3 linked regions of the Kluyveromyces lactis genome follow. The protein of the gene in region 3 interacts with the protein of the main gene of each other region in a biochemical or structural test. Links are inferred from orthologs where the notes say so. Each region holds a gene or a part of one and is shown on either strand. Other genes may lie near its edges. The genes, in order: NAM7, HSP104 and SUP35.

The links.
Region 1: the proteins of SUP35 (region 3) and NAM7 form a complex in vitro, tested with the Saccharomyces cerevisiae proteins (2 studies listed by BioGRID). The link is inferred for Kluyveromyces lactis from reciprocal best matches to the Saccharomyces cerevisiae genes SUP35 and NAM7.
Region 2: the proteins of SUP35 (region 3) and HSP104 form a complex in vitro, tested with the Saccharomyces cerevisiae proteins (7 studies listed by BioGRID, with this or other methods). The link is inferred for Kluyveromyces lactis from reciprocal best matches to the Saccharomyces cerevisiae genes SUP35 and HSP104.

The regions. Positions count from the first base shown.
Region 1 is NC_006038.1:566,573-570,722, reverse strand, and holds the start of NAM7 (ATP-dependent RNA helicase NAM7), read right to left. Parts: upstream 2,816-4,150; coding exon 1-2,815. Other genes in the region: MBR1 (Mbr1p), read right to left, coding at 3,299-4,150. UniProt on the Saccharomyces cerevisiae protein: RNA-dependent helicase required for nonsense-mediated decay (NMD) of aberrant mRNAs containing premature stop codons and modulates the expression level of normal mRNAs. Also capable of unwinding double-stranded DNA and translocating on single-stranded DNA.
Region 2 is NC_006042.1:1,666,929-1,671,097, reverse strand, and holds HSP104 (chaperone ATPase HSP104), read right to left. Parts: upstream 2,817-4,169; coding exon 117-2,816; downstream 1-116. UniProt on the Saccharomyces cerevisiae protein: Required, in concert with Hsp40 (YDJ1) and Hsp70 (SSA1) and small Hsps (HSP26), for the dissociation, resolubilization and refolding of aggregates of damaged proteins after heat or other environmental stresses.
Region 3 is NC_006040.1:1,486,405-1,490,394, reverse strand, and holds SUP35 (translation termination factor GTPase eRF3), read left to right. Parts: upstream 1-1,337; coding exon 1,338-3,440; downstream 3,441-3,990. Other genes in the region: heat shock protein HSP42, read left to right, coding at 1-915; ARG82 (inositol polyphosphate multikinase), read right to left, coding at 3,492-3,990. UniProt on the Saccharomyces cerevisiae protein: GTPase component of the eRF1-eRF3-GTP ternary complex, a ternary complex that mediates translation termination in response to the termination codons UAA, UAG and UGA.

The sequences.
Region 1 (4,150 bases), on a different chromosome or scaffold from region 3:
TGGATAAACTTCCATCAAAATTGACCGCGTCTTTATCGTATTGGTTAACAGGATGCGTAGCACTTAAGCGCGATTGTGTATCAAAAGACTGTCCATTCCAATATTGTTGGTTCAATAACGAAGACAAGTCCGTGTTTGGAATAAAAGATTTTTCAACGACGTTTTGGCCACCGAATGAGACCAAACTTTGAGTGTCAAAGTCTCTCTGACCAGCATATTGTGTATAACTACTGTTGTTGGATGGGGCTTTCCTGGGTGCCCTAGAAGGTTTCGTCAATTGGACTGTGCAGAGTTGTAAATTATCCAAAAACCCTTCAACAAGACAACCCTTTTCTCTGAAATGAAGTAGTAGATGACTCCATAAGCTATTGCGAGATAGTGCCCTTGGGTTACCCAATATTATTAGACCGTATTTAGCACGAGTCAACGCAACATTTAGACGACGTGGGTCACTCAAGAAACCAATGGTGTTTCTCTCATTGGCACGGACACAAGACAAAATAATATAGTCTTTTTCTCTACCTTGGAAAGCATCTACTGATGCCACTTCAACGCCCATGTACAATGATTTTTCCATCGAACCATTCATTTGCATATATTGTACAACATATGCTCTCTGCCCCTCATAAGGAGTTATAACACCAATCTGTTCTGGTTTGACACCATCTTTGAATAGTCTTGTAATGATCTTTTCACAGTTCATGGCTTCAATTCTGTTCAAGTAGGAAGTACCATTGCCTGAGATCTCTTCACGACCATAGTTAGCCCAAAACATCATAGGGATAGTATGAATTGGCCATGGAAAGGTAGATCTTGCAATAGTACGTTGCTCGATGGTGACACCATTCTGTAAACTACCTTCGTAGAACATGTTGCTTGGGAATTCGCTTAATTGTGGATTCATTCTATATTGGACTTCCAATCTAATAGGAATGTGACCCAAGGAAATTAATCTTTCAAACAAAGATTGTTTCAAACCAGCGTCACCAGCTTTTCTATCTAAAATGACAGGACCAAGTTGCTGATGATCACCAACTAGAACAACTTGTTTGGCTCCCTTGACGATAGGGATCAAACATTCAGGTTCTGACGCTTGAGTACTTTCATCGATCAATACTGTGCGGAACTTATAGTCCAATCTTTTATCACCAGCGCCGACGCAAGTACAGCAAATAACATCAGCTTTTTGAATGATGGTAGCTTCTGATTTTCTCACTAACTTCACAAATTTCGTGGTATCCGATGAGGAAAGTTCCCCTGTTTTTTCCTTAAGATTGAGAAGTTTTTTGAGTTTACCTTCTGCAGACCTGCTGACCAAGTTATGCAATGCTAACTCGGACACTGAGCTCTCCACATCTTCTCTACTTTTAGCAGTTAATCGTACTACCTTTAAACCCATACTGTGCAACTTGGCAGCAAGATGATCCACTGCAACGTTAGATGGTGCACAAACTAAAACACGCTGTTTGTGGATTTTAGACAAATGATAAACAATGGTAGCTGAAGTGACGGTTTTACCGGTACCAGGAGGTCCCTGGATCAATGATAAAGGTCTTTGTAAAACATGCTTCACAGCATTACTTTGAGATTGGTTTAACTCGGTGAAGTGAGGCACAAAAATGCTTTTGGGTAATTCTACATCAAATTCCACATCTGGAACCTCTTGGCCCAATATCTTATAATACAAGAACCCTGATAATGATTTTTTGGTGACAGCAAATTTTCTTAACGCTTCTTGCATTCTAATATAAGAAGTTCCCCTCCATACAAAAACTGCTGTAAATCCTGTAGTACAATTAGTTGGTGGAGTTTTTTGACTTGGTTTCAATTCAAGAGTAAATTCATCTTTGAAACTGTTTGGTAGCTGGATGATGAAACCTTTTCCTGTCCAATCTGCATGTTGTGGACCACTATACTTTAAAATCATCTCATCACCAACGGCAACTTTTAATTCGTTAGATTCGAATGTGGATAATGCAAAAGTAGCTAGATGTCTGTTGTTCAATGCTAAATCCCATGTGACAGAGATGTGTTCTAAGGCCTGTGATTCCTTTAATTGCTTATCATAATCTGCTTCTAACTGAATCAAAGGACCAAATGATCTTTGGTACTGATAAGCATCAGTGTATCTCATCAAAGTCGGAGGAATATCTTCATCTTGTTCGACCATATCAATATCCATAATTGTAGCGTTTTTGTTTGATTTCCATCTTGCTTCCAATTTCGTAATTTGAGATGGAGTAATCATCCTGGCCTTCAACTGATCTTCTTCACTTGGTTCTTCTGCCACCCAAGATAGCATCTTCCTTTCTTCAATAAGTGGTTGCCAGTTATCTGTATCCCAATTAACATTCTTCATTTTAGCACAAGGCAATCTGCACAACAAGACCACAACAGCCTCACTCTTAGCCGGAACAAAACCAAGAACAAACACATTAGTACGTCCACAATTGTAGCATTCCAAAGTAGTATCTCCTAGCTCTGAGTCTGGATGTAATGAAACTGAAGAATGATGGGATAAAACTAAATGGTTCACAATATGGGAACTATTAGTACCATTTTTCGAATTACAAAACCATTTGCTGCAAATGTTACACTTGACAACACATGAAGTATTATCAATACCACAATATGCACAAGCATGTTCCGCAATAGGATCTGTATTAGCAGCAGTGCCGTGGAACTCAGAGTATTCCTCGTCCAGCATCTCATCAGTATCGTAGAAAAAGTTTTTGTCGTCATCGTCTCTCAAAGAAACAGATTCGTTTGAGTCCGAATCTGAATCAAACGGTTCATTTGGCAAACGCATCGTCATAAGGAAACTTGATTCTAATTGTACTGAGATAATAAAGGCACCAGTCGTGTACAATCTACTTCAAAGAATAGCTTTGAACAGAATAGATCGAACTAACCAAAAAAAAAAGTTCGCAAGAAATGAGTCAGAGTCACAAATCAAAATATGTTACTCAGCACATTGATAGATGCTCAATTTACAGAACTTCTTGAAAATACAGATAAAGTGATATAGGAAATAATAACTGTTGAAGCATATTATGATTAAATACTTTTATGTATGGAAGTTGATGCATTTTCTGATGAGATGTGAGATGAGATGTGAAGTACACAAACTGAAAAAAAAAAAAAAGAATCAGCAAATGCATGCAAAAGTCGGGTAATTAAATAGTGATTAGGTGACAGTCTATGTCCTATTACGTTTATATATTTGATGCATGAGGGTATACTGATGATTATGATTGGGGTAACTGAGGGTGGTTGAAGACTGGGGTTGTGAATTTTATTATGAGAAACTCTCTGATAAAGCCTGTTCAATGAAAGACTTTCTTCTTTTTCTTGCGTCCAAAAATGGTGGTGGATGTGAAGATGAATATTGGTTAATTGATTGAGTTCCTGACGGTATTTCTGGTATGGTTCTATTAGTGTAGGTGTTTGGATTGGCAATTGTGCTATTTGAACTTTGAGGTGAAGTTCGTAATGACATTTTTGCCAACGATGAAGAGACGGTGTCTTCTGTTCCATGAGTTGAAGCTTCGTCTGACAATTGTTTTGACTTATCAAAGAAGGATTCCGTCGCTGAATCCAATTCAGAACTTACGTATCTCTCCAAGCTGTATAAGTGTGTTGGAATGGCATTTGTAGATAAGCTAATGGACGATCTTGATCCATTGGAAGATTTAGGATCTATTGCGCCCTCGTCAGTGATATTAGTTGGGGATCCAAAAGAGAGACTGTTATTATTTATGGTATTGTTTGTATCTAGACATCCAACAGAAGAAGCAATGCTCTGTCTTGTGGGTTGTTTAGACAATGGAATGACTATACTGTTTGTCCTTGAGACTGGGTTTGAATCTAGCGAGAAACTGTATCCATTGTAAGAAGCGGACGATTTCGATCTAGGTTTCCTTAGCCCGTGGCAGTTCGAACATACCACACAACCACACTTTGATGGTGATCCAATTTTCCCCTTCAAAGAAGTATCTCCACGCATCATATTCGAACGGAATGGGTTCCCTCCAAGCTCTACCTCCTGAAACTCTTCTTCATTATCACTGGGAATCTTATAGTACAGCGTTTCCTCCTGCAATGGATTCAATTCATACAGTGAATCTTCTGCACGACTGTGTATCTCGAG
Region 2 (4,169 bases), on a different chromosome or scaffold from region 3:
ACTAAAGAAAGTGAAAAAAATATGTACTTTACACTATATATGATGGTACTGTTGAACTGAAATTTTATTACTGAGTGAGTTTGTTTGTATGTTTTCTTTTTGTAATTCATTTTAGATCAGTCTAGGTCTAAGTCGTCATCGTCGTCCAAGTCCAAATCCATGTCTTCATCACCAATTTCTGATGAAGCTGGGTGATTTGGTAAAACTTCTAAATGAGATCCATCGGCACCCACTTCTACATTGACAATTTCTTTGTCTTTGATCTCACCCTTCAAGATATGGATTGCCATTGGGTTCAAAATCTCGGTTTGAATTAATCTGTTCAATGGCCTAGCACCCATATCCTCCGAGTAACCATTCTTGGTCAAGAAATCCCGAGCTGGTGGTGAAACGTTGATCTTGTAATTCTTATCATTATCCGCAAATTGCTTCTCCAAGTCTTTGATTCTGATATCAACAATTTTGTGAATGGCCTTGTGAGAAAGCTTGTTGAATACCACGATACTTGAGATTCTATTCAAGAATTCTGGTCTGAAATGTGCTTTAACGGCACTCATCACCAACTCTTTGGAACCCTCAGTAACCTTTGATCCAGTCTGAGCATTGATAAATTGGGCACCCAAATTAGAAGTCATAATTACAATACAGTTCGAACAGTCAATTGTCTTACCTTGACCACTAGTGATTCTGCCGTCATCTAACATTTGCAAAAGAACGGTCAAGACATCAGGGTGGGCCTTTTCGACTTCATCAAATAACAACACACTGTATGGTCTTCTCTGTAATTGATTAGTTAAGAAACCACCTTCTTGGTAACCAATGTAACCGGCAGTAGTACCTAATAATTTCGAAACTGAATGTTTCTCCATCAATTCTGAACAATCGATTCTGACCATAGCTTTTTCATCATTAAACAAGAAGGATGCGACTTTCTTAGCTAATTCAGTCTTACCGGAACCAGATAAACCTAGGAATAAGAAAGATGCCGGTTGATTAGGGTTAGACAAACCAGATCTAGAAAGTCTGACAGCGTTAGAAACGGCTTTCACAGCCTCCATTTGACCCACAACTTGTTGCGATAACTCACGTTCCATATGGATCAACTTTGTGTTTTCAGATTCAGTTAGTTTATTCACTGGAATACCGGTCATTCTAGCGGCAGTCTCGGCAATAACCTCGCTGTTAACCACGTTCTTCACCATTGTTTCAGAACCTTCCCTGGATTCTTCTTCAGCAACTTTTTGTTCCAATTCCTCAATACGTTTCTTGATATCCGGAATAGCAAAGTATTTCAAATCAGCTGCGGTAGCATTATCGTAACGACGTTCGGCATCCATGCATTTGTTTTCCAATTCATCGAGCTTCTTTTTGGCTTGTCTTAGTTGTTCATGAGAATCCACTTCCTGTTGGTAACGCTGTCTCATTGGTTCCAATTCCTCAATTAATGAAGCTTCCTTTTGTCTGGCTTGTTGTAGCCTTTCTTTTGTCGTTGGATCCGTTTCTTCATCTCTTTCTAATGCCTTGATTTCAACCTGTAGTAAATGCAATTCGCGCTCTTTATTGTCTAATTCTTCGGGCTTAGAATCACGAGCAACAGCGACACCGGCACATGAAATATCAACCAAGTCAATAGCAGAATCAGGTAATCTTCTGTATGGCAAGTACCTCTTAGCTAGTTGAGCTGCAGACACTAGGGCACTATCTAGAATTCTAACACCATGATGTATTTCATACTTTGGCTGTAAACCTCTCAAAATAGCTACCGTTTGCCTTGTCGTTGGTTCAGGGACATCAATCTTCTGGAATCTTCTTTCGAAAGCACCATCCTTCTCGACCAAAGATCTATATTCGTTAGTGGTAGTGGCACCAATTACCTTCAAGCCACCACGAGATAAGGCTGGTTTCAAAATATTAGCAGCATTGGCAGAATCATCTACACCTTGGCCCATCAACATATGAATCTCATCGATGAATAATATAATTAAAGTCTTTGATTCCTCGATTTCTTTCAAGACACCTTTTAATCTTTCCTCGAAATCACCTTTATATTTGGCACCAGCCGTCAATGCAGCAAGATCCAAAGAAAATAATTTGCAACCCTGTAGAATTTGTGGAACATCATCGTCGATAATTCTTTGAGCAACACCTTCTACAATGGCAGTCTTACCAATACCTGGCTCACCGATCAAACATGGATTTGACTTGATTCTTCTAGCAAGAACAGTGATGGCAGTTCTAATTTCTTCTTCTCTACCGATAACAGGATCCAACTTACCTGCTCTAGCCTGTTCAGTCATATCGATCGCATACTTCTTCAAATATTCCCATTTTTCATTTGTATCAGCGTCTCTTGAATCAATTCGTTGATTGCCTCTCAATTCGAGCATCTGCTGCTTCACAGATTCTATGTCAATGGAACACTCCTTAAAAATGCTTTGAGTTGTTGCATCTTTGAACAAAGCAGTCAATATATGATCTTGACCGACGAATGAATCTTTTTGCTGTTTCCTAATTTCTGAAGTATCTTTCAAGACCTGCCCGAAAGCATAACTTGGCTGAATTTCTAATGGTGCGGGCGTCTGAGATGGAGTCCTGACTAGGTTTCTGTTGATGGCCCTTTTCAAAGGTTCATAATCATATTTCGCTAATTCCACCAAGTTTTGTAAGAATCCAACAGAACCATCCTCGTTTGGCTCAACAAATGCAGCAAGTAAGTGAATTGGTTGTAACTGAGCATGTCTGTGATCCTGAGCCAATTTCTGGGCCAAACGGATAATTTCGTTGGCCTTATTTGTAAATTGTGTTTCGTCGTTCATTGTAGTAATATCTTCTTTCTAGACAATAAACTGTTGATGCGTTTGATGATCCTGACAATTGTTGTTTATTTCTATCAGATAGACCACTATTGATACAATTGATGTAATTGAATTCCAAAGCAGGAAGCACTCAACAAATGATTCTTCGGATGGTCTCCCTTTATATACCTCTTCACTACGCTTATATTCTATAAACTTTTTTTTTCACCTATTCTTTCTATAAGCATCTATCAAAAGATACCCTAAAATCACCTTATTAAGAAAACTAATAGCAAAGCAAAATATACCTCAACCCCTATCTCCCGGTACCAGTCCCAGCTTTAGTATTGCCCAATTCACAGACAAACAAAGCTCTAACAACTACATTACTTTTCCAGTATAAACCAGTACATTCTCGAATAATTCACTCACTCAAGGTTAAGCTTTTAAATTACCGTTGGGACTGACGTTCATGGCTACGTAAAATAGAAAATTGTAAGTACGTCCTTATTGTTAGTTGAATACTAGATCAAACAACCAGCTATCCCAGCATGTTGCTTACGGCAATGTAGAAGCTGTGTGGGGATTGTAAAGCTACTTAAAATTCACTCTGCTCTAAGCTAGAGTCCGGAACCGTGATAGCTAGAACATTACCGGATTTTTCTGGAAGACTCTCGAAAGTGCATGTCCACAAAGAAAACCGAAGAAAAAAACTGGAACAAGTGGATCACCATCACGTGATAGATTTTGAAATTTAACGCTAGGTTTTTGGAACGCACTTCTGTTTCGATGTCAGGCGTCAGTTTTGTAATTCACGTTAATTAAGACAATATCATTGGCATTGTGTCAAGTTTTGGATAGCAACATATTATTATTTTCCTTGTAAGATCTACATATGTATAACTAGATATTCCAGCTCATGTGCGTGATGATCTTTCGTTTTTGAATCAAATTAACAAGGACATCATGAAAGCAATAATGGAGCCTATGGACGAAGTTCTCTTCCAATTATAAGCATCATTTAGGGCAGTAGAATGATCAGTCTCAGTGCCATTGTAGTGACCGTCATCTGTTTTCCATTCAGTGTCCGTTTCGTTCTTTACCTCTTTGTAACCTTCCTTCAATGCAGCAGAGGTAGTGTGATGTGGTTTCTTGGTGAAACTCGTCTCAACACGTTTTTCTTCAGTCACTGAAGGTTCAGCTTCGGAGTATTCATCATCATCATCATGTTTTTTGTTCTTCTTGTCACTATGTTTTTTGTTCTTCTTATCTTCCTTTTGCTTTTTCTCTTCTTCCTTCTTAGCCTTTTTCTTCTCTTTCTTGGTTTTTTTATCTTCTTTTGGCTTCTCTTCCTCAGACTTTTCGTCCTTTGAT
Region 3 (3,990 bases):
CATTACCATCCACACCGTACTGTTCGCAGGACCGGTGCTCCAACAACAGCTTCTAGAAGGGCTGTTGGACCAACATCTGGTGATGATGTAGTTGGGGCTCTTTTGAGTGCTTTGGCCGGTGGTAATTCCGACATTTTCAGAGGGGATGCTGATGAAGAAAGTCAGAGACAAGCAACTGATGATGAACAAGAAAACGATGAACAGGAGCAAGCCGCTGCTCTTGCGGCAGCCGAAGAAGCTCTTGCAAATCAATATTCCGAGGAAGAAAAAGAACGTAATGATCAGCAAATAGACGAGGAAACAGCAGAGCAAGGAGAAGACGCTTCTGACGAGTACAACGAAGATTATAACATGCACAATAATGAGGAACAACAAAAGTTGAATAAGACTACTTCCTCCGTTGACAGCGAAAAGGACGTAAACCAAAAGGATAAACTAGCTTACGAGCCCAGCGGTTTCAGATCTCCGGTTCCTGCACCTTTGCAAGTTTCAAACCCAGAATTGAGACTTGATCTACCATTTTCTCCAGAAGTTAACGTTTATGATACTCCCGAACAGTACGTTGTTGTATTGGCATTACCTGGTGCGAACTCGAAGGAGTTTAAAATTGATTTCCATCCTTCATCGCACGAGTTACTGATCAAAGGTGCTGTCGACAACAAGATCGGGATTGATAAAAAGTACGTGAAGATCTCAGAATTGAAATACGGTGATTTTGAAAGATCTGTCAAGTTCCCCGTTTTACCGAGAATTAAAGATGAAGAGATTAAAGCATCGTACTTTAACGGATTGCTTCAAATCAAAGTCCCAAAAATTCCACAAGATGCTAATAAACCACAACCAAAGAAAAGAATTATAATAGAAGATGTACCAGATGAAGAACTTGTGTTTGAGACTGCTCCTCGCAATTTATGAAATCATCCCTGGCTTCACATTGGAAAACTGGTTCAGCCAAACATTTATATGAACAATTGTTATGAATTAAAATAAGATCTCATGTTTAGTAATCGCTTATGTATAATATTAATATTACACGAATACCAGCACCCTCATTTTATACAGTTACATAGAGGAAGAACGGAACGGTTGCACCAGGTTATTGATGCCATATTACGTATTGGGCGCTACAATGGTGTTAGTCTATTTAGGAATATATGCAGTCGTATAAAATTACATCATCGCTAATTGCAAAAAATTTTAAACAGCTTGATAGAGAAGATCGAAAAGTGTAAGAAAGCGTTACTGATGATCATCATGATCCTCCCATCAGCGAATTGCCCTCTATTTGCAAGCTTAAATTGGAACAAGGTACCGGTCTATAGCATCTACTAGTAGACATGTCAGACCAACAAAATCAAGACCAAGGGCAAGGCCAAGGTTACAATCAGTATAACCAATATGGCCAGTACAACCAGTACTACAACCAACAGGGCTATCAAGGCTACAACGGCCAACAAGGTGCTCCTCAAGGCTACCAAGCATATCAAGCTTATGGACAGCAGCCTCAAGGAGCCTACCAGGGCTACAACCCTCAACAAGCTCAAGGCTACCAACCTTACCAGGGCTACAATGCTCAGCAACAAGGTTACAACGCTCAGCAAGGCGGTCACAACAATAACTACAATAAAAATTATAATAATAAAAACAGTTACAATAACTATAATAAGCAGGGTTATCAAGGTGCTCAAGGATATAATGCACAACAGCCAACCGGTTACGCTGCTCCAGCACAGTCTTCATCCCAGGGTATGACTTTGAAAGATTTCCAAAACCAACAAGGCAGTACTAATGCAGCCAAGCCAAAGCCTAAGTTAAAGTTGGCCTCTAGCTCTGGTATTAAGTTAGTAGGTGCCAAGAAACCTGTAGCACCCAAAACTGAGAAAACTGATGAATCCAAGGAAGCAACTAAAACTACCGACGACAACGAAGAAGCACAATCTGAATTGCCCAAAATTGATGATTTGAAAATCTCAGAGGCTGAAAAACCAAAAACTAAGGAGAATACCCCATCTGCTGATGATACTTCCTCAGAGAAGACTACCAGCGCTAAGGCAGACACATCTACAGGAGGAGCGAACTCCGTGGATGCTCTAATCAAGGAACAAGAAGATGAGGTTGACGAAGAAGTCGTTAAAGATATGTTTGGTGGTAAGGATCATGTTTCCATCATTTTCATGGGTCACGTCGATGCTGGTAAGTCAACAATGGGTGGTAACTTGTTATATCTGACTGGTTCTGTGGATAAAAGAACCGTTGAGAAATATGAGAGAGAGGCTAAAGAGGCTGGTAGACAAGGTTGGTATTTATCATGGGTGATGGATACCAACAAAGAAGAAAGAAACGACGGTAAAACCATTGAAGTGGGTAGAGCGTACTTTGAAACTGAAAAGAGACGTTACACTATTTTGGATGCTCCCGGTCACAAAATGTATGTTTCTGAAATGATTGGTGGTGCATCTCAAGCCGATATTGGTATTTTGGTTATTTCTGCTAGAAAGGGTGAATATGAAACTGGTTTCGAAAAGGGTGGTCAAACTCGTGAGCACGCTTTATTAGCCAAGACACAAGGTGTCAACAAAATGATTGTAGTTATCAACAAGATGGATGATCCAACTGTGGGATGGGATAAGGAAAGATATGATCACTGTGTTGGTAACTTGACAAACTTTTTGAAGGCTGTGGGTTACAATGTTAAGGAGGACGTCATTTTCATGCCAGTGTCTGGTTACACAGGTGCAGGTTTGAAGGAACGTGTCGATCCTAAGGACTGTCCATGGTATACTGGTCCATCTTTATTAGAATATCTTGACAATATGAAGACTACTGATCGTCATATCAATGCTCCATTCATGCTTCCAATTGCTTCTAAGATGAAGGACATGGGTACTGTTGTGGAAGGTAAAATCGAATCTGGACACATTAGAAAGGGTAACCAAACTTTACTAATGCCTAACAGGACCTCTGTTGAAATTCTGACCATTTATAACGAAACTGAAAGCGAAGTTGACATGGCTGTTTGTGGTGAGCAGGTTAGATTAAGAATTAAAGGTGTCGAAGAAGAAGAAATTTCTGCTGGTTTCGTTCTAACCTCTCCAAAAAACCCAGTTAAGAATGTAACGAGATTTGTGGCTCAAATTGCTATTGTCGAATTGAAATCGATCATGTCTGCTGGTTTCTCGTGCGTTATGCATATTCATACAGCTATCGAAGAAGTCACCGTCACAAGATTGCTTCACAAGCTTGAGAAGGGGTCAAACAGAAAATCAAAGAAGCCTCCAGCATTTGCTAAAAAGGGTATGAAGATCATTGCCGTTATCGAGACTAATGAACCGGTATGTGTTGAAACATACGATGATTACCCACAATTGGGTAGATTCACTTTAAGAGATCAAGGTACCACCATTGCTATCGGTAAGATTGTGAAAATCCTTGAAAATTGATCTCGGTTTTTATGAATCCATATCACAATGCATATTTACTAGGTGTCTAGTCTAGATTGTATATTTAGTTTTTAATCTTTCAAAAATGTCTATAAGACTTTCAACCCCGTCAAGTACATTGTCATCTATTCCTAATCCTGGGGTAAATTTGGTATGTGCAAAATCTATTATCGACATGCGACTCAATTCTGTCTTTCCTGATATGCTCTCCTTTGACTGTCCATCTTTAATGGACCCTTCCTCATCCGAATCATATGATACATGGGACGGTATTAATTCTTGTTCCTGAGAGAAGTTGATCCACCGAGTAGTATCGCATTCATATATGAATAGAAGGCTACTTGATATCATGCGAACCTCTTCATTCAATAGCGTATTATAGAAAAGCTGAAGCCTTTTTGAAAACATGTGAATCAAATCATTACGATTTTGGAGTGAAAGATTATTATCGCCAAAGTACAAATCAAATGCGTCCGTTACATTCGAAGCTGTCAACTCACGACCGTAATATTTATTGACAAAAATATACCCATCATCTTCCGGTTCATAA